Linked DNA regions of Cricetulus griseus. The protein of the gene in region 1 interacts with the protein of each later gene in a pairwise test. Links are inferred from orthologs where the notes say so. Each region holds a gene or a part of one and is shown in the gene's direction. Other genes may lie near its edges. The genes, in order: Kifc3, Mid2, Stx11, Usp2, Necab2, leukocyte receptor cluster member 1 homolog and KAT8 regulatory NSL complex subunit 1.

What was found.
Region 2: the proteins of Kifc3 (region 1) and Mid2 interact in binary tests that used the Homo sapiens proteins (3 or more experiments, as listed by UniProt). The two-hybrid records come from large-scale screens. The link is inferred for Cricetulus griseus from reciprocal best matches to the Homo sapiens genes KIFC3 and MID2.
Region 3: the proteins of Kifc3 (region 1) and Stx11 interact in binary tests that used the Homo sapiens proteins (3 or more experiments, as listed by UniProt). The link is inferred for Cricetulus griseus from reciprocal best matches to the Homo sapiens genes KIFC3 and STX11.
Region 4: the proteins of Kifc3 (region 1) and Usp2 interact in binary tests that used the Homo sapiens proteins (3 or more experiments, as listed by UniProt). The two-hybrid records come from large-scale screens. The link is inferred for Cricetulus griseus from reciprocal best matches to the Homo sapiens genes KIFC3 and USP2.
Region 5: the proteins of Kifc3 (region 1) and Necab2 interact in binary tests that used the Homo sapiens proteins (3 or more experiments, as listed by UniProt). The two-hybrid records come from large-scale screens. The link is inferred for Cricetulus griseus from reciprocal best matches to the Homo sapiens genes KIFC3 and NECAB2.
Region 6: the proteins of Kifc3 (region 1) and leukocyte receptor cluster member 1 homolog interact in binary tests that used the Homo sapiens proteins (3 or more experiments, as listed by UniProt). The two-hybrid records come from large-scale screens. The link is inferred for Cricetulus griseus from reciprocal best matches to the Homo sapiens genes KIFC3 and LENG1.
Region 7: the proteins of Kifc3 (region 1) and KAT8 regulatory NSL complex subunit 1 interact in binary tests that used the Homo sapiens proteins (3 or more experiments, as listed by UniProt). The two-hybrid records come from large-scale screens. The link is inferred for Cricetulus griseus from reciprocal best matches to the Homo sapiens genes KIFC3 and KANSL1.

What each region holds. Positions count from the first base shown.
Region 1 is NC_048596.1:171,341,567-171,346,053, reverse strand, and holds the start of Kifc3 (kinesin-like protein KIFC3), read left to right. Parts: upstream 1-1,569; 5' UTR 1,570-1,696; intron 1,697-4,487. UniProt on the Homo sapiens protein: Minus-end microtubule-dependent motor protein. Involved in apically targeted transport. Required for zonula adherens maintenance.
Region 2 is NC_048604.1:39,570,470-39,574,176, reverse strand, and holds part of Mid2 (probable E3 ubiquitin-protein ligase MID2), read left to right. Parts: intron 1-90; coding exon 91-252; intron 253-1,722; coding exon 1,723-1,930; intron 1,931-2,298; coding exon 2,299-2,701; 3' UTR 2,702-3,707. UniProt on the Homo sapiens protein: E3 ubiquitin ligase that plays a role in microtubule stabilization. Mediates the 'Lys-48'-linked polyubiquitination of LRRK2 to drive its localization to microtubules and its proteasomal degradation in neurons.
Region 3 is NC_048595.1:275,905,864-275,910,145, forward strand, and holds the start of Stx11 (syntaxin-11), read left to right. Parts: upstream 1-1,482; 5' UTR 1,483-1,822; intron 1,823-4,282. UniProt on the Homo sapiens protein: SNARE that acts to regulate protein transport between late endosomes and the trans-Golgi network.
Region 4 is NC_048597.1:155,786,597-155,790,303, forward strand, and holds part of Usp2 (ubiquitin carboxyl-terminal hydrolase 2), read left to right. Parts: intron 1-1,812; coding exon 1,813-1,863; intron 1,864-2,692; coding exon 2,693-2,816; intron 2,817-3,707. UniProt on the Homo sapiens protein: Hydrolase that deubiquitinates polyubiquitinated target proteins such as MDM2, MDM4 and CCND1. Isoform 1 and isoform 4 possess both ubiquitin-specific peptidase and isopeptidase activities.
Region 5 is NC_048596.1:196,080,163-196,084,496, forward strand, and holds the start of Necab2 (N-terminal EF-hand calcium-binding protein 2), read left to right. Parts: upstream 1-1,367; coding exon 1,368-1,577; intron 1,578-3,476; exon of another isoform or gene 3,477-4,334. Other genes in the region: Osgin1 (oxidative stress-induced growth inhibitor 1), read left to right, coding at 1-185. UniProt on the Homo sapiens protein: May act as a signaling scaffold protein that senses intracellular calcium.
Region 6 is NC_048602.1:21,581,356-21,585,684, reverse strand, and holds the start of leukocyte receptor cluster member 1 homolog, read left to right. Parts: upstream 1-1,341; 5' UTR 1,342-1,410; coding exon 1,411-1,542; intron 1,543-3,385; coding exon 3,386-3,565; intron 3,566-4,046; coding exon 4,047-4,297; intron 4,298-4,329. Other genes in the region: Tmc4 (transmembrane channel-like protein 4), read left to right, coding at 1-101, 671-749, 865-933.
Region 7 is NC_048600.1:117,451,298-117,455,004, reverse strand, and holds part of KAT8 regulatory NSL complex subunit 1, read left to right. Parts: intron 1-1,476; 5' UTR 1,477-1,521; intron 1,522-2,768; 5' UTR 2,769-2,851; coding exon 2,852-3,707. UniProt on the Homo sapiens protein: Non-catalytic component of the NSL histone acetyltransferase complex, a multiprotein complex that mediates histone H4 acetylation at 'Lys-5'- and 'Lys-8' (H4K5ac and H4K8ac) at transcription start sites and promotes transcription initiation.

The sequences.
Region 1 (4,487 bases):
ATGTATGTATGTACATAGGTTTACATCTCTGCTGGACTTGGAGCCTCAGCTCTGACACATTCTGGGTTTGCCAAGGAACCTTTCCTCTCTTGAACAAGTTCCCGGACTGAACAGTGTCAGACAGGATCTTGTGTCTAAAGAGCTCAGCACAGTGCCTGGCACTATGCTCACTCTGAATAAATGGTGTCCATTATGTGCACAGAGGGGAAAGGCTGTACTAAATAAAGTGTTGGCAGCATTTATTCCCAGTGGGTGGGATTATGGTTACAATGAACATCCATTACTTTTGTAACTGGAGAAAAGGGAACAATAAATGTTTTTATTAATTTAAAAAAAGAACCTTGACTTTGACTTTGCTAGAAGGAAGCTGAAGTTAATGTCAGTGTCCCAACCCTTAAGCAAGACAATGTTTCTGCTTTTATACTCAAACTTTAATGACAGACAACCCCCTACCCTATGAAAAGAGCCTCCAATAAAGGAGACAATGCATGCTTCCAGCTGGGGCCTAAACCCTTGTGCCTGTCTTGGTTCAGATTCTTGACTCCCAGTCGCATGTCTCAGCAGCAGAAGCAGGAAACAGCTCATCTGAACTGTTCCCTCATAAGCCATCCTTGCCAAGCCAGAAGGGGCAGACCCCCCATGCTTGCTGCTTGCTTCGGAGGTTCTCTGGGGATCATCAGCTTCTGCTGGTTAGGCTCCTGCACCACTTTCTCCTTCCGCACCGTCGAGTGGGCACACTGTGGCTGAAATAAATGCTTCTCTGTTTGGGAGACAAAGAACAGAGTGGTTCCTCTGGGTCAGCTGTCTCTCTTGCCTGGCTGGGCCTGCTCTCCCCCAGGCTTCTTCTGAGGCTCCCAGGCGTTCCAGGAGGAGCGCTTAAGGCAGATTGGGGGCTGTTGCACTCTGAGCTGTTTGGCTGGAGCTTAAGGGAATGTGTTACCTTAAGGAACCCCAAGCAGGCTTCTCAAGAAGATGCTCATTGGCTGGGGAGCAGGGGCGCAGCTGGAGAGACAGTATGGCAGGCAGGACCAAGACAGAGAGAGTGCATGCCCGTGTACCAGAACAGGTCAACGTGTGTATATGTTTGATCTCGTGTGCAAGAGCATGCGTGAGTGTGCTAGAATGAAAAAAATGCATTCTTAAAATGTTATTCTGTGTGCCGGATGTGTGTGAATCTTAGCTGGAGTGTGTGAAACTTCTGCACCTGGATTAGGGGCAGAGTGCCAACCATTTGAGGGTGAGTGTAACCAAATGTTAACACCTGGGTGGGAAGGCGAGGCCTGCGTTCCTGCAGGCTGGGTAAGGGCAAGTGTGCAGGCACTGCGGTGTGTGCAGGCACTTTGGCGTGAGCCTTCTCCAAAGGCGCAGGCAGGTGTGCTGGGGCGCGTGCACCAGAGGGAGAGCGCAGAAGTTTTATCAGCCTGTGTTGGGGGTAGGAGTAGAAGGGGCATGCGCCCCGGGCAGGCGCGTGCGCGAGAGTGAGCGTGCCCCCTCCCGAGCCCGTTGCCATGGAAACGCGCCGCGGCCTGAGTTAATCATTTCCTGTGGAAAGTGCGGGAGGGGCGGGCGCGGGGCGGGCCGAGGAGGAGGAGGCGGCGGCAGCTGCGGCGGCGTGGAGCAGCCTCGCGAGGGCGGGCCGTAGCTGGCCGAGCCCTGGGCTCTGCGGCGACGCTGTGATCCTGTCTCCGCTAGGCCGGTGAGTCGGGGTCCGGGCAGGCTAGGACGGGTTGGGACCGGCTCCCCTAGCGCGTCTGGTGGGCACCGCGCCCACCCTGCCCGGGGACCCCTCTATCCCGATCTACGGAGGGCGCGGCGTCCGGGCCCGAGAGAGACCCGGCTGTGCGTGGGGTCCCGTTGCATCCTCCAGCTGAAGAATCTCGCTGGGCTTGAGGGTGGCACGGCCTTTGGGGTCGCGCTGCCTGGACTCGCTTTGGATCTCATTGGTGGGGAATGTGCAGAGCCTACCTGGGAGCTGCGTGTCAGCCAGCGCGCCCCCTTCCCCTGCATGGGTCGCTCCCAGGAAGGCTGCAGTTTGGCCCTCCCTCTGGGTCCCTGGGTAGTTGCTTTCTCTGGCCAGGCCCAAGGTGGGGTGCGCCAGTCCCTAGGTTAGGAGGAAAGGCATCGGAGATAACCCTCACAAGCCCAGACGAATCAAGTCATTGACAGCTGCAGCTGAGGAATCCCGGCAGGGAGGGGGAGCCCAGAAGCTGTCTGTCCCCTTTCAGCCTTCCTACTGCAAGTAAGAACGGAATTCTGGCCGACACAGTGAAAGGCCCAGTCCTGAGACAGTTTAAAGAGGAAACTGGATTTTAATTCTTAAGTACATTTGTCACCCCATCCCACCCTCTTTAATGCATATGTCAAGCTTGGGCATTGGAACTACCCCTAGCTTCACCTTCCTTAGTGTCCTTCTGCCCCAGACTGGGCGAGTGCCCTTTCTGGCCTGGTAGGATTTTTTCCCCTGTGCCCTTCATAAAGGGGCGTCTCCTTGGCCAGAGAGAGTCATTTGCTAGGAATGCAGCCCCAAAATGGTTCTGTGTATTTGTGGGGCTGGACTTCAGGATTTGGGGTGGTGAGTTCTGCTGTCCGGATGGGTTCCAGGGAGCAGGGAATTTGACATCTGGATTACCCAGAATATGTTCTGTGTGCCAGGGAAACCCTAGCCCAGTCTAGCCACCCCAAAATGCTCACCCAGGAGAACCAGGCTATCTCCAGCAGTGGTGTATAAGCGACTATGAAGTATACCCCTAGTCTTTGCACTGTCTCTGGTCTAGAGCAGGAGGAAGGCAGCTCTACCATCCTGGCCTAAACCCAGAGAGACACATACCCCTCCCCCAATGTGCCTCTGCATTCACCCACTAATGGGACAGTACACCAAAAGATAGCATTCTGAGCTCTTTGTACACTTCACACATGTATTGTCTGATGTTCATGCCGGTCCTATGAAGTGCAGCTCTCACCATTTTATACATGGAGGTGATAAGACAAAGACTAGGTGATTAATTCTCATAGGTGGCAGGGCCAAGGCCTGGACCACTCTCATAGATCTACTCCATGAATTCCAGATTAGTAGAGGCTCCAGGACCCCAGATAAGACACCTGTGTAGGAGAGCCTGCGCTGCTGTCTCGGTGTAGAACCCTGGGCTTGATTGAGATTCCCTGATATTCCTGACCTCACACCAGGGTTTCCAGCTGCTAAATTCAGCTGCCTTTTCCTCTTGGGGATCTAGCACACACCCTTCCTCTTTCTTCAGGCTGCCTCTCCAACTTCCCGTCCTGCTGGCACAGAAATATGGTCTCCAGCCTCTACCTCCTAGACTGAGCTGATGTCCCCTAGAATCAATCCTCTGTCCTACGTGGTCTCCCCTGTAGGAGCACCTGCAGAGGACGGTCCTCTCATCATCCCCCGTTGGCTATAGGGTTGGCTCTATGCCCAGCTCTGTGCCAGTCAGCCTGGAGAGGACATTTGTATCCATTCTTCTTGCTTCTTCCCCCTTACACACATCTCAAGGCATCAGCGCTGTGAGGCTACTTATATGGGTCAGCATCTTCCTTACCCTTTGTCCCACATTCCTGTCCCCCTCTCATTGTGTACCCCACATTGTCTTCAGTCAAGGAAGGAAGAGACCACGACCCCACTGTCTTCAGTACTTGACCCCGTGAGCATCAGTCTCTGACCCCAGACTCTTTCTTTTCTCCCCACCTTGCTTCTAGATGCTTTGTTCCTGCACCTCTGTCTACCCCACAATGCCACCTCTCCCCTGTCTCAGTTCCTCTCCTAACCATCGTCGCTAAACTTCCCCCAAAGAAGAAAACAGCTGCCTTCTAGGCCCTCTCCAATTCCTTGAGCCAATTTGAACTTGCTTTGCAGCCTAGGCTGGCCTAGAACCTGCAACCTTTGAGTGCTGGGATGGTAGGTATAACCCCCCACCCAGAATTCTCTAGGGCTTTCTTTGGCTTTGCCATGACCACCTGACTATCCTACTTATCTGCCCAGCTTCTTCTGAGGACTCTGTGCATGACATAGGCAGCTCCTGCCACCTCTCTGACCTCCTCCCTCTTCCAGTTACTGTTCCCACCCCTCCACGCCCTCTTCACCCCAGCCTTGTCCTTACTTAATACTGTCTCCCATCTTGGTCAACCTTGCTGATTTCGTCCTTACCTGTAGCAGTCGTGGCCTTTAGTTCTGAGTCTTAGTGGCTAGCCGGTCCTCCTTTCCTGGCTTTGGGGTGTGTGTGTGTGTGCGTGTGCGCGCGCGCGCGCGCGCGTGCGCACATGCATGCATGCATGCCTCTCACTCGCAGGGAGCCAGAGAGGGTGAGAGAGACAGACCCAGTTCAACACATGTTCTTGCTGCCTGGCAGGAGATGGTCAGTGCAGTGAGGGATGAGGAAACTGAAAGTGGTCCACAATCCAGGTAGCTCTGTAGGATGTCCCTTGGGTGTACAACTCCACGATGCCTCTTTAAGCTGAGTTTGCCTCTACAA
Region 2 (3,707 bases), on another chromosome or scaffold:
GGTGGGTTATAATAGATTTTCGGTGTTTTCCTTTTAATCCTGTTTTTTTTTTCCCTGTTGACTGATGCCTTTGTCTTCTCCACTTCACAGGCCTGTACAATTCAGTGGATAGCTGGATGATTGTGCCCAACATTAAACAGAACCATTACACAGTGCATGGACTCCAGAGTGGGACACGCTACATCTTTATTGTGAAAGCCATAAATCAAGCGGGCAGCCGGAACAGTGAACCCACCAGGCTAAAAACAAACAGTACGTTTTGGAGATTCTAGAAGGAAAGACCAGCTTTCCTCTCTGTGCCAGGGAGGACAGTTAGCCTGAGAGACTCCCCCATTATAATGTGTGAGAGCAGTGGCTCTGAGTGGAGGAGCTTTACTGTTATGCTTGGTCTATGGGATTTGTTGGTACCCATGGATGTTTGTGGCCTAAGATATATAGAATAGCTTGTGGCCTAGAAAGAAGTTAGGGAAGGGTTTTTCTCTGCCTTCCACCCCTGGGTCCTATGCTTGGGAGAAAAATTCAGTTAAAGAGTTGTTTCTTATGACGATCTACAAAGCTCTACCATAGAGAAGCCCTATCGGTTAGGAATGTTCTCGGTCACAACTGACACAGTTTAACAAGTATTTCCAAGTAGCTTAAGTTACTAGTTGTTTTAGTTAGTTTGTTTGTGTTTAAACATACATAGCAAGAAGTTTGAGGGCAGCCTGATCATGGCTAGTATAGCAGCTCTGAGATCTCATGGAAGGTTGGAGCTCCTTCTTTGTGCATTGGTTTACCCACAAGGTCGAAAGATGGCCAGTGCAACTGCTGATGTCATAGTTCCCTTACTAGGAAGAAGGGAAAAGTTGGTAATCTTTTAATTAGGAAACAGAAGCTTAACTGGAAATTTCTTCCAGTCTCTTTGACTTCAGTGTCCTTCTTATTAGCTGTCCCTAGCAGCAAGGAAGGCTGGAAGACTGAGTGAGAGAGAGAGAAAAAAATAAGTAATGGATACTGTATTAGCACACAGTGTCTGTTACAGAGGCATATTGTGTACTAAATCTCTTGCCCTAACCAGCACCGGGGGCCTGGGACAGTGTTTTTGGCATAGGGTTATGAGTTTCTGCAGCAAAGCACATGTTATCTTTCATCATCGACCATGGAGCAGTCACTGTAACAAAGTCGACTAATGACACGCACTCTCCAATTAGAAAGCCAACATCTCCGGTTGCTGAGCTCTTCTCAGTTTTTCTTTAGTGATCAATGGCCTCATTAACACAAGCTTTTCTACCTCAAACATTGCAACACTCTTTTAAAAAATCTACCCACATCCCCACCCACTCACTGAAATAAACCAAAGTACCAAACATATTTGAGGATGTGAGACTTTGAGTGGTCCCTTTTAGTTTCATAACATATGATGGGAATACTTTACTAGCTCCCATGTGCTTGGACTCTGGCTTCCAGCATAGCACTCATATGAGAGCCCCACATTTTTCACACAGATGGAAAATAATGCCTGAATGAAGGTTATTTTAGGGGAGGAATGACTTGTATTCTGACTTAATTGCAAAGTGTGCCATCTTGCCTGCTTCCTTAATATAATCCAAACTCCAGCTGACCTGCACTTAGCGAAGGATCACCGTCATGTTGAGGATCCTCTGCTAATGATGGTCCCGGAGGGAAAGGCACAGTTCTTAAATCCTTGATCATGCTTTCCCCCTTTCCTCTACTTTTTTTCAGGCCAACCCTTTAAACTAGATCCCAAAATGACTCACAAGAAGTTGAAGATCTCCAATGATGGATTGCAGATGGAGAAGGATGAAAGCTCTCTGAAGAAAAGCCATACCCCAGAGAGATTTAGTGGCACTGGGTGTTATGGGGCAGCAGGAAATATATTCATTGACAGTGGCTGCCACTACTGGGAGGTAGTCATGGGTTCTTCAACATGGTGAGTGGCTATTTTTTTCTTTCCTTGTCCCAGCTTCTCTGCTGTTAGGTTCCTAGGAGATTCAATTCTACCGCACAGCTAAAATACCAATAAGTCAAGGTTAAGAGATATATGATAGGCACCAGTGCTAGAAAACTTGGCCAGCTTTTAAAAGATAAAAATCATGGAAAATATAGTGGGCTAGGAGCTGAAGTGCTGTATCACTCTAATTGCTGGCTTTACAAGATCTGATGATAATTAGCATTATGCCTGTAAATATAAATGTTTTAAGGAAGAAGCACAGTGAGTCACTCGTAGGTCCTAAATAATGTCTAACACAACTCATATCATCCATAAATACTTTTCTGTCTTCTCCTCCACTGTCTCAGGTATGCAATTGGTATCGCCTACAAATCAGCTCCAAAGAATGAGTGGATTGGCAAGAATGCCTCTTCCTGGGTCTTCTCCCGATGCAACAGTAACTTCGTGGTGAGACATAACAACAAGGAAATGCTTGTGGATGTGCCCCCACAGCTGAAGCGTCTAGGTGTCCTCTTGGATTATGACAACAACATGCTGTCTTTCTATGACCCAGCTAACTCGCTCCATCTCCACACTTTTGATGTGACCTTCATTCTTCCAGTTTGTCCAACATTCACAATCTGGAACAAATCCCTCATGATCATGTCTGGCTTGCCTGCCCCAGATTTTATTGATTACCCTGAGCAGCAGGAATGCAACTGCAGGCCTAAAGAATCCCCCTATGTGTCTGGGATGAAAGCTTGCCATTAAATGGCAAGAGAGCATGTAATTCACTGGCTCTCCACTTCAGCATTTCTTCCCCTCTTGAGCCGCCATTAGTGTTCCATATGTGAGATACAAAATACAGTTCATTGGAAGCACCCTAAATAACTAGATATTGTAGATTTAATTTTTTGTGCATTAAAGCTTATGTTTGGATTCATGTATTGAGTTACTCAGAACAAATGATCTGAATAGTCTGGGTTCATGACATTGGGGAAGAATTTTAGAGAATATCTCTGTCATCATTGGGAAATTAAAAATTCCCAGTGGTTTGAGAGTATAAATGAAATTGGAAAGAATTAGCCTTTCTAGCAGTGGCTAGGTGGACCAGATGGAATTTGCACAGTTTCAAATTATCATATTTGTCACTTTTTAATAAACTAACAATCAAGGTGTTATGAGAATATCATACATGTGTATATATAATATATAAAATGACTGAATTCATTTTATGAGCAAAATGGCATAGATCATTTTATCTATTACATATATACGATAAACCTTAATTTGTTCATTTAAGTGAGAGATATATTGAAAAGGAAAATGAATTATACTGTCCATTCTTATCCCCTAGATGAAACATCACAGTAGACTGGTGTTTTTCTCTTCTTACCTTTTAGCCTTTCTTCCCAGACCCCCTCCTGTCACACATAAAAACACATGCAATCAAGACACAGGGAGTGAGAAGAGCTCTTGGTTAGATTAGGAGAGCTCTGTGGACAAGATTGCTTAAGAGATGCTACTGCTACATTGAAAATTGATTCTGGTCTAGTGTGCTGTGTAGCATAATTTCATTGATATTATTTAATAGAGGAGATTTATTTGAATTATTAAAAATTGTCATAGAATATTTCAAAGAAATATAGTTTTGTTACTCTCAAATACATAGTTACTAGACTTACGCTAAAAAATAGAGTTGCATAATGGAGGTTCCTCAGAATTCGCCTTACTTGATCAGTAAGAATAGTGTTACAGGTTCAACAACTATATGAGT
Region 3 (4,282 bases), on another chromosome or scaffold:
TAGACTCTTTGTTTTTGTTTAGCTCCATCTCCCACTTCCCACGCCCCAAGAGACCATTTTTAGTTTCCCGGTTGCCTTCTTCTGTGGCAGTTTAACTTTTCCCTTTGTTTGTTTATGACCTTTTGACAGGTATGGGTAATATTGGTCAGGCATTTGACGGAGGGTTGCAAATGCCTGAATTTGTGCTTGTGGAGGCCAGAGGCAACCTAAGACTCACGGTCAGGATATCATTCACCTCCTTTGAAACCAGGTCTCCTACTGGTGGGGAGCTCACCAATGATTCAAGCCTGGCTGGCCAGGCAGCCCCAGGTGTGTGCCTATCCTCACCTTACCAAAGTTTGGCATGGATCAGCAGGCACAATATTTTTCTGGGGGTTCTAGGGAATCTAACTTAGATCCTCAAGCTAAAGGGCAATCACTTTACCCCGGAGCCACCTCCCAGGCCGGTAGCTAGGGAGACTTAAAGGGTTTCTGGACTTCATTTGGTATGCCCTTCATGATAAGACTGGGGTGTGGAGGAGAAGAGCCTCAGGAGTAAAGTTCCATCTCCACCAACATATTTATATTTATTTATTTATTTATTTATTTATTTATTTTCGAGACAAGGTTTCTCTGTGTAGCTTTGTAGACTCACAGAGGCCATCCTGCCTCTGCCTCCCGGAGTGCTGGGATCAAAGGCAAGCACCACCTCTGGCCGGCTCCCATCAGCATTTTCAGAGCACACATCCCCAGTGTTCTTTCTGGCCTTGAGCACTGGGTGAAGTGCATGCCAGCTCTGTGTGGTAAAAACTAGCCCCCACCCCTTCCTACTATCCTTTGTTGGGGGCAGTCCCTTCCCAGAGTGCAGAGACACGCGTCGTTTCCATGAGAATGGAGTTTCTGCCTCAGTTACCTGAAATTGCTCTGCCTGAGAGATTGTTAGCCATCTATTCACATTAGATGGATAACTTCTGAGAGACTGTCAGCCATCTATTCACATTAGATGGATAACTTCAGTTACTTTCTCGTACTATCTTGTCCCTGAAATCCTTCCGGCTTTGAGCACTCCGAGCTCTTTTGGTGGCTTCCTGGCACCAATGCGCCCCTTTTGATGGTTAGTTTTCACTTCGTTTGTCAATCTGTTTTCCACCCCCTCACCGAGCACCCCCCTTTCTGTTTCTGAGTCTCCAGTAGGGTGCCAGGAATATTCCTATGGGCGCCCCACTGACAGCAGGTGGGAAAGGGCTGGTAGAAGGCGGGGCTCAGTGTCTCCGTGAGCTCTAGCCTCCGGTTAAGCCTTCGCTAGTGTCCTGGTTTGCGCAGCCACACCCACGCCCAGAAACGGTTTCTAGCATCCTAGCCTCGGAAATGTTCTGGACTGCAAATGTCATCTGCGTTGGTGGGGTTTCCCCGGGGGAAGTCCGACGGATCCCGCCCTGTCCATCTCTCCATCCCAGAGCGGGAGGGAAGACAGAGAAAGTTCCCGGGTGGTCCACGCTCCCCACCCCCACCCCTGACCCCGCAGCATCTGGCGGAGCTTAGGCAGGGAAGGTGGCTCGTGCCTAGGCTCCCGGCAACCTGCAGCGTGACGACTGCAGTAGGGTAAGGAAGCCGCGCGCCTAGCGGAGGACGTCTCCGGGGCGGGGCCTGGTCCCCAGCTGTGCGGCCTCAGAGCGCCGGGGGCGGGGACAGTGGCGTCCAGATGCGGTCGGGGTGGCGCAGATCTCACTCCGCGCCTGAGAAGCACAGCCGGCAAGAAGCGCAGGGAGCAGGGCCGCCGGGACACGCGCACCCGGTTTCCTCCGGGCGTCCCGTCGCTGGATCAGCGCCCCACCGGATCACGGTTCGTTTTGTCGCACGAGTCCACTAGGCTCTCTAACTTTTTCGGCATCGAGGACGTGGGCAGGGGGTTGGCTGGGTTGGAGGGATCGCGCTGACCCAGGATGGGATGCTGAACAGCAGCAGGTGGTTTTGGGGTGTGGTTCTCTCTGCGCCTCTAGATGAGGCTTTGGGTTTCTCATGTAGAGCCGAAAGCTTTTTAAATGTTCGAGAGTATAATGCTTCATCAGAAGTGCTTCAGAAATGACGACTGTAGACTGACTTTATAAAGGTACCCGAGACAACTTTTGTTTTCAATCGAGAGGTTGAGTTTTGTTTTATTCTGTCTTATTGAATGGTTTGGTTGCCACTTTCTCAAACACATCAGAACCGGCACTTCTTGACTTGAACTTGACAGTATGACTCAGGAGCCAGGAAATACAGGAACATCGATACCTCCTCGTAACAGCTCCCACAGAAGACACTGAGGAGTTGTTTTTAGGAGAGAGACCTGATAACTTTGCTTAGAGAAACACGCTACGGAATTCTGTCAGCTTCTGGGCTCCACGAACACCAGCTGAGACCTGTGCTTTACTTCCTGTGGCCCTCTCACACTTGTTCGAGCCATTTCTCAGCAGAGGGAGGAGCTGTTGTTTCTACACGGGTATCCAAAAATGAGTCACAAGGCTGCTCTAATTGCGAGACTTTGTTAATAAGCCTTTGAAAAGTGATGTTGGATCCCTGTGCTTAGAGTAAGACCAGCAAATGAGACCGGTGCTGTCAAACTGGGGCAGGCGGCCTAGGAAGTAACTATTCAAGTTTTCAGTTTCCTAAAGCGTCTGATGGGACAACATGCCAGCCAGGGTCACTAGGCTGATCTGAGATAGCCCTTAGAATCACGTGCTTTGCCGCAGAAGCTCAACAGAAAATTAATTTCATTATCCAATAACCATTTGGTTGTTCTTTTCACTGCTTGGTAGGAATGGGACATTTTATGGAGTGATTGTAAGTCATTCTGAAACTAAAAATATTTCAGATAGTTTACTTTTACCACATTAGTGCTCTAAGAAACATTTAGAAGCTTTTGAAGAAGTTCAATGGTTGCTGGAGCCAGACATTAAGATGTTGAGTCTCATGTGTCTGAATAGTGGCTCTCAGAAATGGACTTCCCTATCCAGAAGGAAGGGACACGAATAACTGTACCTATCTAGAGACAGGAATAACTGTACCCTAACTGAGCTGATATCAGCCCTAGACAGCAGTTACAAGGCTCTGGTCTGCTCCAGCCTCTTCACCAAGTTCCATGTATACGACCATGGACACAATGCTATCCTGGCAGCTAGGACCATAGCTGAGCAGACTTGGGGAAATCCAACATCATGAGATGTGTGCTATGAGAAATCTATACACAAAGGAGGTGCCCCGGCAGGGGGTGAGTTGAAGCCTTGAGTTTCAGAGTGTCCTGGAACATTGCTGGGACAACAAGAGAAGGCTTGAGTTCCACCCACCTACTTGTCTTTGTGGGCAGCCTGGTTTTCATTCAATATGTAGTTTAAAGGCACATTAGTGAACATGGCTTTTAAGTGTTTGAATTAACCATGTTTCATGTTACTTAGTAGCTGTGTAATGAATGGTAAATGCAGTCTGTTATCACTCCTAGGCGGTTGTGGCCACTCTTAGTTATGTGTCCTTTTAAAAAGACTATTAATGGGTGGTTCCTAACTGTAGACCACTAGATCGAAGCAACCTTCTGCTCATGGGTGCATACAATTGTTGCTCCTCATCTGAGGGGTTGACTTGACTTTCATGACTTTAGTTACCTAAGTTCTGATACATTAAGTAGAAAATTCCAGGGATAGTAATACACTTTGATTTATTTTGAGACATGATCTCACTGTTTATCCTGTGCCTGGAATTCACTATGTAGACCAGACTAACATAGAATTCATGAATAGCTGCCTGCTTCTACCTCCTGAGTGTTGATAGTAAAAGTGTGTGCCACCGCACCTGCCAGTAAGATACTTCAAGAGAGGGGGTGCATTCATACCGAATTAATGATGCTATATTGTTAATTGTTCTCCTATTAATTCTCATTTATCTCTTACTGTGAATCATTTATGAATTTAAACCTTATCTTAAATATATGTGTACAGGGAGCAAGATAAGTAGGAGTCAAGTATTCATCAGCATCTCTTGTGCAGGATCCCTAAGGATTAAGGAGGACCAAACATTCCAGTCCTCTGAGGTAGCTAAGTAGTAAAGGACAACTGCTCAACTTAAAACAGCTTTAATCTCTACATTTCATCTCTCCCTCTGCAGCTGCAGAGTCATGTCTTCTATAAGAAATAAAAGATAAAGTGTGTTAAGCATTGTGTTCCTGAGCTTTGGCACGGGTTTGACTTATGATGGTATAAAGAGGTTTTTTTTTAAACAATGAACCTGACTATAGATGAGGGTTGCCCAGGAACTGGAAGGGGTAGGTGAC
Region 4 (3,707 bases), on another chromosome or scaffold:
TATAGGGCCCACTGCTGTTGTCAGCAAGGCAGAATTCCCACTTTGCCACTACCAGGGGTTGAACCCAGGACCTTACAAACACTAGACAAGCCCAGTCAACAATGACACCCAGTGGTGGGATTCACATTTTATTTGGGGCAACCTAGGGTTAGCAATACAGGCCAGGGCAGTCAATGGAGGATGCTACACACTACCTGCTGCCAGCAGGCGGACCCTCCAGCTGAAGGTTTAAGCCATGTCTCTCTTCTGAGTGTGCTTTCTTCTCTACCTGCTAGAACTGGACCTGACAACTGACCTGACCAGGGGAGGGATCCTCTTACTTATGGGATGGGCCTGGGACTTCTTGAGAAAAGCCCTCCCTTGGCCTGCTCCTCCCTCCCCCCTTGAAGCTGACAGTCTCATGGGCTTTGAGCCGCTGACAGCCTCCTAGGCTGTCAGCACACAGCATGAGTAATTTTAGCTGAGTTATTTCAGGCTCCTGTTCTGATGAGGGTTGAGCTGGCCCCACGCATGCCCCAGCCAGTGTTGCTCCAGAGTTGCCTTCTCCGAGGCCCCCTTTCTAAGAGAGGGGGTGGCAGACTCATCCACAAACTCATGCACTGTTTCTTTAACCCTTTGAGCCTGAAGGTTTTCTGATTCCCAGGTGGTGTGCCCAGGGTTAGCTAAGAGACCTTGACAAATAATGCTCAGAGGCTACAATCTCGCACCTGTTCTCTCTCCAGCCCCCTCACCAGCCTCCACAGCAAAGACTAGAGTGGCACCTTCAGCCAGGTGCTTCCTCAGCTTGGCGGCACATGTCACAGCAAGTGTTTCCAGCCAGTGGCTAGTTGGGATGTTGAAACCTGAGGCGGGAGGGCTGGCGGGCGGGTAGGATCCTCCTGCCTTGGCTCAGCCCTTAGAAGCTGAGTTCAGCTGGAAGGAATTCCACCTGTCTCTGGCAACTCCGAATGGCAGGCAGCTTGAATTTTTCCCAGCTGAAGATCGAAACTCAATTGCAATGGTTTGTCATTTAACCTTTCTCAACCCCCTTAAAGTGCCGATTATGATGGTTCCTTTATACTTGGAACGTCTAGTACAAATATAGGTCATATGAAATAGAACCTGGATTTGGCATGTGAAACCTTTTCTTGTTGTTTGGTATAGCTCAGACTAGCCTTTGGGTTCACCTGTGAATGTAGCCGAGGCTGACCTTGAATCCCTAATCCCCCTGCCTCCATTTACCAAGTGCTGGAATTGTAGGCATTCCTCACCATGCCTGACCTAGACTTTCAGTTTCTTACAGCAAGAAATTTATATTCCTGGATTTATGAATCCATAGCCTCTAGTTTTAATATCTAGTCTCCACTGTAGCAGAGAAAGAATATAGAGAAGCCAGGCGTAGTAGCTCACACCTGAAATCCCAGAACTCAGGAGGCTGAGCAGGAGGATTGCCACAAGTTCACTATGCTACCCAGTGAGACCATAAAAAAGTGACGCCCTGAAGAATAGTTTGTGTGTTGAAAGTAGGCATTCTTCCATGCTCTGTTCTCCAAGACCCATAGACTAAGGTTGAAAAGAGAACAGTCTACCAGGCGGTAGTGGCATACACCTTTAATCCCAGAACTCAGGAGCTAGAGGTAGGTGGATCCCTGTGAGTTCAAGGCCAGCCTGGTCTACAGAGTGAGTTTCAAGACAGTCAGGGCTACACTGAGAAACCCTGTCTCAAAGAAGAAGAAAAGAGCACTCCAGTGGTGAGGGCAAGGGTGTTGAATAGAGAGCTGTACAGACCCAGGCTCTGAGCCTCTATATATGACACATATTCTTTGCTTACAGAATTCAAAGAGTGCCCAGGGTCTGGCTGGTCTTCGAAACCTTGGGAACACGGTAAGTTCCTCCCAACTCACTCTTTTCCAGGAGAGTAGAGGCCATGCCCTCCTCTCCTGACTGGAATAATCCAATAGAGTCCCCTCCTGGCTCCAGCTGACGACCTATCCTATAGGGCAGTCCGCACCTGCCCTTCCTGGCTGGTGTTTCAGTGAATTGCTGGGCTCTGTCTCACCCGCCCCCAGCAGGAAGCACTAAAAGGAAGTTGCCCTTGTCACTGCCAGCTTGCTGCTCTCCTGGACCTTCCTCCTGGATCCCAGCACTTCCCACCCACTTCTGACCAGTGTGCCCACACCCTTTTGTATGCCTCGATAGGAAATAACCAATTATATGGCCTTTCCCCATAGTGGGGACTTGCCTTGCTCCTCCCTGCCTCCACTCAGGAAAGAGGAACCTTTTTGGATAGATGAAACAGAGAGCCTTTGGTTGCAAGTAATAGAAGTCCTGGGTAAGGGTCTTAACTCCATCACCGTGTTCCAGCTTTCTGCCCCTATGACAAGATAAATCAACTTAAAATGACAGTAAGTTTACTGGGCTGTTTTAGTTCATGGCTGACTTATTGGCTCTGTTGCTTTGGGCTTGTGACAAGGTAGTACATGTGCAGCAAACAAAACCATTCACCTCATGGCCAGGATGCAAAAAGAGAGGAGAGGCTGGGGCCCTCTAGGCCTCTTCAGAAGCAAGTCCCCCAATACATGAAGTGTTCCCACTGGGCCCCATTTCTTCAAGTTGCTGCCACATCTCCATAATGCCATTAGCTGGGAATCAACAGCTTGTAGAAAACTTAGAACTCTGCACATCCACTAATTGCTCAGATTGTCTCTTGTAGTGCTTCATGAACTCAATTCTTCAGTGCCTGAGCAACACCCGAGAGTTGAGAGATTACTGCCTTCAAAGGCTATACATGCGGGACCTCGGCCACACCAGCAACGCACACACAGCCCTCATGGAAGGTGAGGAGCCCCGTGTGGGCGTGGCCCGCTTCCATTCCCAGCTCTGTGCTCTTGTATCAGGCTGGACTGATAGCTGTGTTTTGGATATGCTCCACCCCTCTATTTTTCTTTCTTTGCCTGTCATTCGTTGGGATTCATTACACAGTAAGGCCGTGTCTCAAACAACAGATTCTGGACCCAGAACTGGATCCAAACTTGGTTGGACCCAAGCACTAGATTCTCTTGCTTAAGCCTCCCAAGCGTTGGGATTACAGGTATACAACACCATGCCTGACTCCAGTTTCAGGGTTCCATCTTGTTTGTTCATTGTTTGATTAATCCATGGGTTGGTTGGATAGTTGTCTTTTTTTTTTTTTTTTTTTTTTTTTTGAGACAGTCTCATGTAGCCCAAGGTGGCCTTGAACTCCTGATCCTTCTACCTTAACTTGGGTTCATGAGTGTGCACTACCATACCTAGCTCAAGGTTTTGTGTGTATGTGTGTGTGTGTGTGTGGTGTGTGTGTGTGTGTGTGTGTGTGTGTGTGTGTACAGTGTGTGTGTGTGTGTGTGTGTGTGTGTGTGTGTGTGTGTGTGTGTGTACACAATCCTGGGACTGGAAAGATGGCTCAGTAGTTGAGCGAGCCATCTGGTCTTACAGAGGACCATATTTGATTCCCAGAACCCATGTCTGGCAACTTACAACAACCTGTAAGTTTAGTTCCAGGGGTCCAGCACCCTCTTCTGGCCTCCTTGGGCACTCACAAGCATACATACATACATACATACACACACACACACACACACACACACACACATACACACACACACACACACACTAAAATAAAATTGCTTTTTACAAAAGCAAATATCTCACCTTTCCTCCACCCTCTCTCTGGTTGTTCCTTTCAACAG
Region 5 (4,334 bases), about 25 Mb from region 1:
ATCAGCCACTGAGCCCCAAGAGGAATCCCATTGATGTGGACCCCTTCACCTATGAGAGCACTCACCAGGAGGGCCTGTATGCCCTGGGGCCACTGGCTGGGGACAACTTTGTGAGGTTTGTCCAGGGTGGGGCCTTGGCTGCTGCCAGCTCCCTGCTGAGGAAGGAGACCAGGAAACCACCTTAACGTCTGTAGATGCCCTGACACCAGGCCTGAAGAGGAGGGGCTTATCATAGCCCGGTGGGACATGAGTCCATCTAAAGATTTCCCAATGGGGGGGACCAGTCTCCCCAGCAGGAGATGAAGACTTGAGCCTTATGGATGGACTGTCTGGCCCAGAGGCATGGGGAACACAGGCTACCCATCCTCAGGCTAGTCAAGGCTCAAAGTGAGAGCAGTAGCCATAGGCCAGAGACACCTGGGCCTGGGCCTGGGCCCCCTTGAAGCTGTCAGTGTGTGCTGGAATCATGGGGCCAGCTGAGTGCCCAACTAGGAGGACTCCAGGTGGAACCTTTCAGAATCAGGTCCATAATAAAACCAACAGTGCCTCCACTGTGCCTGAGAAGTCTGTGCTTGGGGAGTGGCTGGACAAACAGACCCCATACTGGGCCCCTGGATGAGATCTATAGCTCCCGGAGAAGAAGGGATGGAGGCCCAAGGTGGAGCAGTTGTGGGAACAGTGCTACAGACTGGAGAGTCTGGGCAGGGAATGGGGCTTCCAGAAGCCCTTTGCAGCCCTGTCCACCCTGTAGTTCCTGGTCTGCTTGTCAGTCTCCAAGTCTCACCTCCCTGTTACCTGCCTCAGGGCCTTTGCACAGACTGGTGTCCAGCCCAGGTCTCTTAAGTCTGAGTCACTTGCACAATTCTCCACAACTTGCTCTGCCTTCAGGGTAACTGGCGTCCGCGGGTGGAGGAGGGGAGGAAGGGACACGGGGAGGAAGGGACGCGGGGAGGACCGGCCGGCAGAGGGCGCTCAGGGATCGCCGGACACTAGCACCACGGGGGAGGGGACCCGGGGTCAGCGGGACCCTGGTGGGGACTGGGGCACAATCCCGGGGGCTCCCACCCTCCTCCACACCCGTCCGCAGTCCTGTGTGTACGAGGACATCCCCCTCTGGGACCGTGCCAGGGTCCGGCCGCGGGACCTCGCACCCCCCGCAGGCAGTCCCCTGCCTCCGCTCTTGGCCGGCGGGGTGGGGGCGGCGAGCACGGAGCACGTGGCTCGGGGTCCGGGGAGCCCCCCCCACCCCCCGGCACTGGCGGTCCCCGCGGTGTCCGGGCCGCGGGCCGGCGGCGGGAGCGGCGCTCGCGGGCGGGCGCGGGCAGGGGGCGCGCGGGGGCGCGGCCGGGCGGGGGTCGGCGGGCGAGATGTGCGAGCGGGCGGCGCGCCTGTGCAGGGCCGGCGCGCACAGGCTGCTCCGGGAGCCGCCGCCGCAGGGCCGCGCGCTGGGCGGGCTGCTGCGCTGGGTGGGCGCCAGGATGGGCGAGCCCCGCGCACCGCTCGTCCCCGACATTCCCGTCACGGACCCCAACCCCGGTCCCGCCGTGCCACGCGGGGGCACGGCCGTCATCCTGGACGTGAGTATGCGCTGGACCCTCCGCCCAGCGCGGCTGGGTGCCAGTCTGCACCGGGACCCGAGGACCCTCTCCTCTATCCTGCACGTTCCCACATCCCCACATCCCTTAGCTGGGACCCTCCTCGACGTGGAGACCCCAAGCGCAAACCCCCAACTCTCATTGCCGCTGAGGCGCCTGTCCCCCAATCCAGATCGCACGATCCCCTCCATTCCCTCCCTCCACTTTCCCTTATTTCCACATCTCTACATCCCATAGCTGGGACCCCTTCTTCCCACAGGGACCCCCAGGACCCCCAACTCCCCCTGACTGTACGATCCTCACCTCCATCTTTTTCATCCACTTCCTTAGATCCCCACATCCCATAGCCGGGACCCTCCTCCTAGAGGGGACCTCGAGCCCCCAGCCCCACACCCGGACCAGGAACCTCTTCCTCAGGCCCCTCCCTCCATATTCCCGCTTCCACTTATCCCACAGCCCGGACCCTATTCCTCTCTCATCGCGGCTGGGGAGCCTGTCCCTCTTGGAACTCCACGACCCCCTGCATTCCCTCCCTTTACATTCCTGCATCCCCGAATCCCATAGACCGGACCCCTAGAGCTGCCATTAAGTCTGGCAGCTCTCTTTTGGCCCTAACCAAACCCTCTCACTTGAATCCCTATGACTGGGACAAGAGCCCCTGGGCACTTCCAGCCCTCTCCTCTCTCTTCGCGATTCTTCCCTGCAGTGTTACTTATCTGAGACCACACACAGCCCCTCAACCACCCCTTCACTCTCTGCTAAGGAAGCTGAGCACCCCCAACCCCCCGTGCTGTCCACTTTGCGAGTGAAGCCCCTTCCCCACCTCTCTTTCCATAAAATCAGAACCATGCCCGGACGTAGGGGCCCTCACCCCTCCCCCAGCTCCACCCGGAGCTGTTGTCCTTCACTCTCTCCTGGCACCCTCCCCTTCCTGTACTTTCCATTGACTCTTGGACCCCAGACTCACTCCTTACCCCACCTACCTCCTCAAGCACCACACCTAGCTCCTTCACCGCTGCAGAGTGGGGGAGTCACATGAGTGGGAGAGGGCTGGTGGCCTGGCTATGGAGGGGCTTCTGGGGGATGGAACTGGTCCGAGCGGGTACCTTTACATATTATGAGGTTCTAGGAGAGTCAAGGTGTTTTTGAGTGTGTAAGTGCATGTGCGTGTGTTTGTGTGTGGCACACACCCCTACAAGTGTCAGGGGACTAGAAACCCTCTCCCCACTTTGCTTCCCTTGCTAGATCTCAGAGCCCATACATCTGTCTGGGCAGGAGGGTTTCAGAGATGGGTGTCCTAGTGCCTTTATGAACACACACACACACACACACACACACACACACACACACACACACACACACACACACACCACATGCACACACACAGAAGGATTGAGGCAGAGTCCAGAGTGGAGGTGGCAGCTTGGCCCTCTTTCAGGGGAGCCCTGTCCAGCCCTTCCCTCTGCGCTTGCTGCTGTGTACTGGCTGAGCCTCTATTTCTTCATCTGTGAAGTGGGGTAAGCAGTAGGGGGAGGGTGTCAGTCACGCTGGTTCCAGGAGCCACCTTTCTTGGTGTCAGTTGGGGGCACATCAACCAAGTCATTTCCACACCCAGGCCTTTTGGGGTCTGGGAGTACCCTGAGAATACACATTTCCCTTGCTTGTCCTATTGCTTGTGGGGTGCAGGTGAGCAGAGCCATCTGTCCTTGGACTCAAAGAGACTCCAGGGGGTGGCACTTCCTGCCTGGCCTAACAGATCCCTATCAAACCTTCCTGAGTCTCGGAAAACAGAGAGAGAGAGAGAAAGAGAGAGAGAGAGAGAGAGAGAGAGAGAGAGAGAGAGAGAGAGAGAGAGAGAGAGAGGAGGAGGGGGGGCTGGAAGTTTCCTTCTGGATAAAGGGAGCCAATTCCTCCAGGATCCTGGGACCATCTCAGTGCTAGGACATCAGTCCCCACAGGGAGCTGATTAAAAGTTAAGCCTGACTGAATAGGTTCAGGGTTGGACATCAAATCCCTCTGTGAGTTAGAAGGCCTTAGCAGACACGTTGGTCTGATGGAGCTGCTGGTCCACCTGCCTGGGTTATGGCCCGGACTGAGAGGCTTTTGGAAGTGCCCTGCAAATACCAGAAACAGCCTCTTGACCCTGGTCACCCAGCACCTGTCATTAAAGGACCTTGAAGGATTCAGATGTCAGCAAACCATGGAGTGACTTTGTCTCAAAGTGCAGGTCCCAGGTTTGGTCTGTTCCCCATCCCATCCCTGCTAGTTGCAACCAGAACGTTCCTGCCTGCCTCCCCCATCTCATAATGACGCCATACTTCCTGTGGGCTGATTTTGTCACCAGGCTTCAAGATCACCTCCTTCAGAAGGGACCCAGGCAAGCCAGAGCAAGGGGAGGAGGGTCCTGAAAAGCGAATGGTGGGAAGGCACGGAGCTCTCAGGGGGTTCTGAGCATGGCTGGGTGCAGCTGGGTGCTCAACAATGGGGGAGTCTAGAGGAATGAGTGAGTGTACACCTGCAGAGATACACGTGGGTGTTTGTGAGCGTGCAGCAGGAATGTGCGTGTCTGTCAGCAGCCGTGGGCAGGCTGGCAGAGCAGAGGGAGAGGGAGTGGTGGCTTCTGAAGTAGTGTGGGGAAGGCCTCTGCCCGATGCAGTCTCTCTACCCTGGGTCCCAGCCTTGGGGTCTCCTGGGGAAGTTTGGGCTTCCAAGCCTTACCCCAGCTGCTCCTGGGAGAGG
Region 6 (4,329 bases), on another chromosome or scaffold:
CACATCCCGGAGTCCATCGAAACCCTCCCTCAGTCCGCCCAGAACTTTCTCTACTTTCTGGGGACGCAGGCTTTTGCTGTACCCCTTCTGATCCTCTCTTGGTAAGTGGTTCCAGACTTTATGGTCGGAGTTTGGATATGTGTGGTTTAGTGTTGGGGGGTTGGGGGCTGCTAGAGAGGAGGGCTGCTGCCTGGGTACCTATGGCATGGAAGACAACTGGGGTCTCCCTAGATCTGGTTTGGGGTCTGGATTCCCGGGTCTAAGGAAAAGAAGTCTGGGTTTGAACACTGGGTCTAAAGGAGGTCTGCAGTCTAGACCCCTGGTCAGAGGGAGGAGGGCAGAGGTATGGACTCCTCCTGGTCTGAAGCAGAAGCCAGTGGCCCTTGGGGGTCCTGATCCTGGTTTCTTTTTTGGGGGGGGGTTCGAGACAGGGTTTCTCTGTGGCTTTGGAGATTGTCCTGGCACTCCCTCTTGTAGACCAGGGTGGTCTCGAACTCACAGAGATCCGCCTGCCTCTGCCTCCCTTAGGGCTGGGATTAAAGGTGTGTGCCACCAGCACCGGGCGTGATCCTGGTTTCTAAGGAGCCATATGATGAAGGGGTGTGTGTGTGTGTGTGTGTGTGTATTTATTTTATTTTTCTGAAGTAACTTTCATCCCTGTCTTCCTTAGCATCCTGATGGTGTTTACAATAGCCCTGGCTAACTCTTACGGACGCCTCATTTCCGAGCTCAAACGCCAGATAGAGACGGTGAGCCATGGTGCTTCCCCGGCCAGGGCCCCCTGGGAACCTGGGAAGGACTCGGGTGTAGGGTGTAGAGTAGGCCTGCCTCACTTCCACCCCCTTTCTTTTTTCTTGCCCTCAGGAAGCGAAGAATAAAGTCTTCCTAGCCCAGCGAGCTGTGGCTCTGAGCTCAGCGAACGGAGCCATCTGACCACCCGAGACCCGTGGTTACACCTCCCTATCTGGTACCCTGTGGTCTCTGGATCGAGTCCTCCGCACCCCACCCCACCCCACCCACCCCAGTGCCACACTCTCAGTTGCACCGTTATTAATAAACAACAGCTTTGCATTTTGAAGCCGGGTCCTGAAGCTGGGGACAGGGTTTAGGGAGGGGCCTGATCCGGGTCCCGGGTTGTGTCTGCGAGCAGAGGGCTAGACAAGGCGGGGCAGCATCAGCCCTACACGGCGGCGTCCGGGGTGGAGCGACCCGGGGGTGGCAAACGTTTGGGATTGGCTGTGATGGAGGGCCTCTTAGCCAATCACCCCTGGATAGGGTCATAAGTGGGCGTGGCGTCTGGCCGGGAACCAATGCACAGGCGAGGGTGGGGCCACGGGGCGGGGGCACCCTCGCGCCAATCGGAAGTGTGGGAGTCGGGGGCCCGCTGGCTCGGAGGTCGGCGGGGGGACCATGAATATCTTGCCCAAGAAGAGCTGGCACGTCCGAAACAAGGACAACGTCGCCCGCGTGCGGCGCGATGAGGCCCGGGCGCGGGAGGAGGAGAAGGAGCGTGAGCGGAGGGTGCTGCTCGCCCAGCAGGAGGTGAGCCTGGGCTGGCCCGGAAGCGAGGCGGGCCTCGCTGGGTCGGTGGGTGACTCGGTGGCAGCCGCGGGTCTGTGCTTGCTGACGCTTCTCCGCAAATCCTTTGCTGACTTGCGCGAAACCGTCCTGGATCCCCTTCCCCCCCCCCCCCTGGTGTGGCTGAAGTGACCGCAGGCTAGCACGTCGGAGTGGGACGGCTGCCCCGATCACTTTGGAGATCGTCCGCACAAGTTAATTACTGAGCACCCACTGTATGCGTGCCCCCCCTCCTGCAGAGCGCTAGACTTGACACGACCCTCTTAGAGCGACTTGGAGTTGCAAAGGCTTCAACGAGGAGGGCAAAGGGCGGGCAAGCCGGAGTGCACTCCGTTAGACCTCTTCTTTCTCCACCATTGCTCCCCCAAACACACCCAGAGGCTGGCTTGCTCTCTCTCTCTCTTTTTTTTCTTCTTTCTTTCGGTTTTTTGTTTGTTTGTTTTTATTTTTCGACACAGGGGTTTCTCTGTATTGCTTTGGAGGCTGTCCTGGCACTCACTCTGGAGACAGGGCTCGAACTCACAGAGATCCCCCTGCCCCTGCCTCTGCCTCCCGAGTGCTGGGATTAAAGGCGTGCGCCACCAAAGAGGCTTTCTTTGAAACAGGGTCTATGTAGCCCGGGCTGCCCTGGAACTGGCTATGTAGACCAGGTTGGTCTCGAGCTCTGAGATCTCTTGCCTCTGCCTCCTGAATGTGGGATTGAAGACCACGCATGCATGCACAGGCGTTAGTAATTACTCAATCATGTTAGTTTACAATTAAGTCCCTTGGCCAATCTGATCATGAAGTAGTGTGGGTATTTAAAATTTCGGAAGTAGCCGGGCGTTGGTGGCAATGCAGAACCTACCTGGGATGGGAGTGACACGGGCCATCACTAATGTGTTTGGGATGCTGACCTGGAGCCACACCTGGGGTTCAGATCTTTTGTCCAGAAACTGTGTTTGGCTTCCTAATAAGCTGTATTTGGGAGTTTGTACATGTGTGTGCTGGGCATACACTAAGCAGGGGCTCTATGGGTGAACAAGCCACCTCTATACCTTATAGCTGAGTAGTTTTTGTTTTTTTAGATTTTATTTATTATGTATACAGTCTTCTGCCCACATGCCAGCAGAGGGCACCAGATCTCATTCAAGGTGGTTGTCAGGAATTGAACTCAGGTCCTCTGGAAGAACAGTCAGTGCTCTTCACCGCTGAGCCATCTCTCCAGCCCCTAGCTGAGTGGTTTTTGATAGCTGTTTTTCTTGCATGACTCCAGGCTGTGGAAACCCTTCTGTTTTAGGCTGGGATCTCCCCAAATATCCCTGGTAATCCAGTTAACTGTTTAAAAACAACCATTCTCGTCGGGTGGTGGTGTCGCATGCCTTGAATCCCAGCACTTGGGAGGTAGAGGCAGGCAGATTCTCTGTGAGTTGGAGGCCAGCCTGGTCTACAGACTGAGTTCCAGGACAGCCAGGACTGTTTTACAGAGAAACCTTATCTCAAAAGCCAAACCAAACAAAAACCCCATTCTCCACTTCAAATTAGAAATGGTGTCTTTTCTGGCTCCCAGTACCTCTACCCCCGCCCCCCCCACACAATTTTTTTTTTTTTTTAAACCTTTTTCCAGATAGCTTCTCTCTATGTAGCCTTGCCTGCCCTGGACTCTGTAGACAGGCTGGCCTCGAACCCACAGAAATCCACCTGCCTCTTTCTTCCTCCTGAGTGCTGGGATTAGAGGCGTGTGTCACCACCAGCCGGCTCATGGCCCTTCCTTGGAGCCCCCAGCACTTCTACGTTCTGAATGTCCTGCCTATAACTTTCTTCACAGGCCCGAACAGAATTCCTACGGAAGAAAGCCAGGCACCAGAACTCACGCCCTGAGCTGGAAGCAGCAGAGGCAGGCGCTCCAAGTTCTGGCCCTGTGGACCTGTTTAGGGAGCTGCTGGAAGAAGGGAAAGGAGTGCCCAGAGGCAATAAAGAGCATGAAGAAGAGAAGCGACAGGAGAAGGTAAGCTGCTGGCCTCTGTTGGCTGATTTCGGTGGGGTGGGGTGGGGCGCTACCAGCTGTGACTAACAGCTGTTTCTTATGTTAACCTTAGCTAGTTTATTTTGAGATGACACCTCAACTACACAGACAGGCTGTCCTCCAGCTCACAACCCCCTCCGGCGCTGGCCTCCTGAATGCTAGTCGTCAGCATCTGTCGCCAGATGGCGCTTGTGCTTCTCACATTGTGAACTGTACTGTGGCTCTCCTGCATCCCACTGAAACCACTCCTCTGCTTTGCTGCAGTTTTTCCTTAGACGCCCCCTGCAGATTAGCCATCAGCACTTTTGCGTAGCTGGCCCCTGGTCTGTGATTTCCCTTGTTGAATACCCACCAGCCCCTGCCTCACTGGGAACTCAGGCCCTGGGTTTCCCTACTGCCACATGCCATATCTAGGGCTCCCAGAGGGACTTGGGAAGACTATTTTGTTTTCTTGCCCCCACAGGAGAGGCAAGAGAAAGCACTAGGCATCCTGACGTATTTGGGCCAGAGCGCAGCAGAGGCTCAAACGCAACCTCCTTGGTACCAGCTCCCCCCAAGGCAAGGGGGCTGCCCTCCAGGCCCAAGCCCAGACGAGAAGATCAAGAACCGGTTGGACCCCTTGAGGGACATGCAGAAGCACCTGGGAAAGAAAAGGCACAGCAGTGAAAGCCGTCCTTCCAGAGAGGAGCGGCCTCAGAAACAGCGGCCCAAAGAGTAAGAGCAGACTCAGCGTACAGTAGAGCAGT
Region 7 (3,707 bases), on another chromosome or scaffold:
GAATGATCTGATTCCAAGGGATTCCTTGTTGTCTTCTGACCTCTGTCTGGCATGAGTCATGCATGAGGTGCACATACACATATACATGCCTATATGGAGGAAAACATTCATACATAAAAATGAATCTTTATAAAAAGATGGCATTCCAAGAAGGCTGGCTTAGCTTGGCAACTTAATAGTTCGGGGACTGGAGGGGTGGGTTGGTGGTTGAGAGCACTGATTACTCTTCCAGAGGACTGGGATTCTATTTCCAGTGCTCATATAGTGGTTCACTACCGTCTTAAACTTCAGTTCTAGAGGAACCAATGCCCTCTTGTGAATTCCTCAGGCACCAGTCACAGCACTGATACACATGCAGACAAAATATTCACAAACAAACATTTTTAAATGTGATAATTTTTTCTGAGACTTCATGAAGCTGAATTTTTGTACTCATTCCTTTCAACACAGACAATTAAAGAAGACCAAGGAGGGATATATGAGAGGGTTTGGAGAGAGGAGCGGGAGGGATAGATGATGTAATTATCTGGGAAATTCAAAAGTTTTAAAATTAGCAAAATCCATAATGTTTACTTGTGTCATCAAGAACATCTTTTAAAAATAAACTAATAGTTAATTTTGTGACTGTATGTAGACTCATGCTGTAGTACATGTGTGGAAATCAGGACAACTTGAAGGAATTGGTTAAACCCAGATGTTCAGGTTTGATGGCAGGCATCTTTACTTGCTGGGCTATCTAACAGGCCCAAGAACATCCTAAATGTAATTGGCATTTTTTTTAAGCTGCAAGTGAGGAATACTTTGACTACTTTCATTGTTTGGTGCTATTGTCTTGGTATGTACCAGCAGTTTTGCTTATCTCTGTTTTTGGACCCACATTGCAAATGTTAACAGTTTGTAAAAGGCAGGGCCAGCAGAGATGGCTCAGTGGACCTAAGGCACTTAATGGCCTGAGTTCCATTCCTAGGTTCCAACGAGAGAACCAGATCCTTCACATTGCCCTCTGACTTACACAGCTGTACTGTGGAATCCACAACCCCCACACAAAAATATTTTTTTTGTTTTTTTTTTAACAATTTTATTATTATGTGCATTAATATTTTGCCTGTATGTCTGTGTGAAGGTGTCAAAACTCCTGGAGCTGGAGTTACGTTGTGAGCTGCCATGTGAATGCTGGGAATTGAACCCTGGTCCTCTGGAAGAGCAGACATTACTCTTAACTGCTGAGTCCTCTCTCTAGCCTCCAATAAACATTTTTTTTTAAAAAAAGCAAATGATGTTTTAATATTACTGAAGTTCTCTGGCCACACTCACACTGTAGGCATATGTTTGCCTGGAAGTACAAGTGTACACACATAGCAGCAGCAGTAGTGTGTGTGTGGGGGGGGGTATGTATTAAGATCCCTAGAGGTACAGAGATTGGGCTTTTAGGGATAGTTGAAACAGTCCTTTATATAGATTTCCCTTTGCTTCCAGACCCAGATAGATGAATCAGGAATGAAGAAGCAGCAGTTAATTGAGGTATGTCATTAAGAAAATGAGGCAGGGTGAGAAAGGAAAAGGTTTATTGAAAGAAGAAAGAGAGTTCTGAGTTTCCAAGGATGATCAGATTAGAAAGTTAATTAGTGCAGCTCAGAATTTTTTTCTGAGAGTTAGTGGTCCTCTTACTAGTAGTTGTTGCTAAGGAAATGAGAGAGAAGGCAGAAGGAAGGGATCTTGGGTGGTACCAACATTTTAGGAGGTTTGAAAGGAAGAATAGAATAGAATTATAATGCCAAGAATATCAGGAAAGAATATTTCAAGAAAGTCCATATTACTTAATACTTATGGGAAAGTCAGAATAGGACTGTAGATTTAATAATAACTGGATAATAATATTACTGGTTAATTTTCCTGGAGTGTGATAGGAATGGAAACTAAGTTCTAGAGGAGTGAATAGTAAGGTAACTGTAGCTATTCCTTTGAAGTGTTTTGGGGGAAGGGGGAGAAAGTTATGTTGGGCTATTAATTTAAAGACACAGATTTACTCTGAAAAATAGCCCAGTAGAAAAGACACTATGTGCTATATGAAAGAAGAAAATTAATGAAGCAAATTGATGTTACAGTGTGATGTAGTTAGCCTGGTAGTAACAATCTAAATTTGTAAGGAATGAGCTAATGAGAACTGGATTCCTGGCCAGAAAAGTAACACAAATCCATGAGATTTTGGCATAAACCTTTTAATGAGAATAACATGTTTTTCTATTACTGGATATTCCTCTTATATGGTCATATTAAATCTAGTAATTTAACATTTAAAGAGCCCCCTCCCCCCCTTGGTTTTTCAAGATAGGGTTTCTCTTTGTGGTTCTGGCTTTCCTGGAACTCATTCTGTAGATCAGGCTGACCTCAAACCTAGATCCTCCTGCCTCTGCCTCCAGAGTGCTGGGAATAAAGACATGTGCCACCACCACCTGGCAAAGAGGTTTTAAGTGCAGGTAATTGTAACCATTTGTGATTATTTCAGAATGGGACTTCTATTTTGACAATATTCAGCTTGTGGTTAACAAGTGACACGAAGGGTAAAATTATTTTCTTGTGAAAGCATTGTGTTCCTCTCTTTCCCCTAGGTGAAAGACATCTGAAGGCTGTAGAATGGTTCCTTAGTTAATTTTCTTTATTTGGAGGCAGAGTTTGGACAATAGCCTCAAGTGGTGCTTCTATTGAAAATGTGTGTTGTTTTTGAATTCACTTGTATTTCTGACTTCCTTTCTCTCTATCTCTTTCAGTTTGTTCTCAGGGGAGGCAGTAAGGGGCCGTGGAGCTGGCCTCAGCACTGGAAGAGGCTGGACTTCCTGTCTCTCTGTGCTGAATGGCTGCGATGGCGCCCGCTCTCACTGACGCAGCAGCTGAAGCACACCACATCCGGTTCAAACTGGCTCCCCCATCCTCCACCTTGTCCCCTGGCAGTGCCGAAAATAACGGCAGCGCCAATATCCTTATTTCTGCCAACGGAACCAAAAGAAAAGCCATTGCTGCAGAGGATTCCGGTCTAGACTTCCGAAATAATCCTACCAAGGAAGACCTGGGAAAGCTGCAACCATTGGTGGCATCTTATCTCTGCTCTGATGTAACATCTGTTCCCGCAAAAGAGTCTTTGAAATTACAAGGGGTTTTCAGCAAGCAGACAGTCCTTAAATCTCATCCTCTTTTATCTCAGTCCTATGAACTCCGAGCTGAGCTGTTGGGGAGACAGCCAGTTTTGGAGTTTTCCTTAGAAAACCTTAGAACCATGAATACAAGTGGTCAGACAGCTCTGCCACAAGCGCCTGTAAATGGGTTGGCTAAGAAATTGACTAAAAGTTCAACACATTCGGATCATGACAATTCCAGTTCCCTCAATGGGGGAAAACGGTCTCTCACTTCATCTGCTCTGCAGGGAGGTGAAGTGGGGGGATCTGACTCTGGGAACTTGAAGGGGGGTATGACCAATTGCACTCTTCCACATAGAAGCCTTGATATAGAACACACAACTCTATATAGCAATAATAGCGCTGCAAACAAATCTTCTGTTAATTCCATGGAACAGCCGGCACTTCAAGGAAGCAGTAGGCTATCACCTAGTACAGACTCCAGCTCTAACTTGACAAATGTTAAGTTAGAGGTAAAAAAGTCTCCACTGTCTTCCATTCTTTTCAGTGCTTTAGACTCTGACACAAGGATAACAG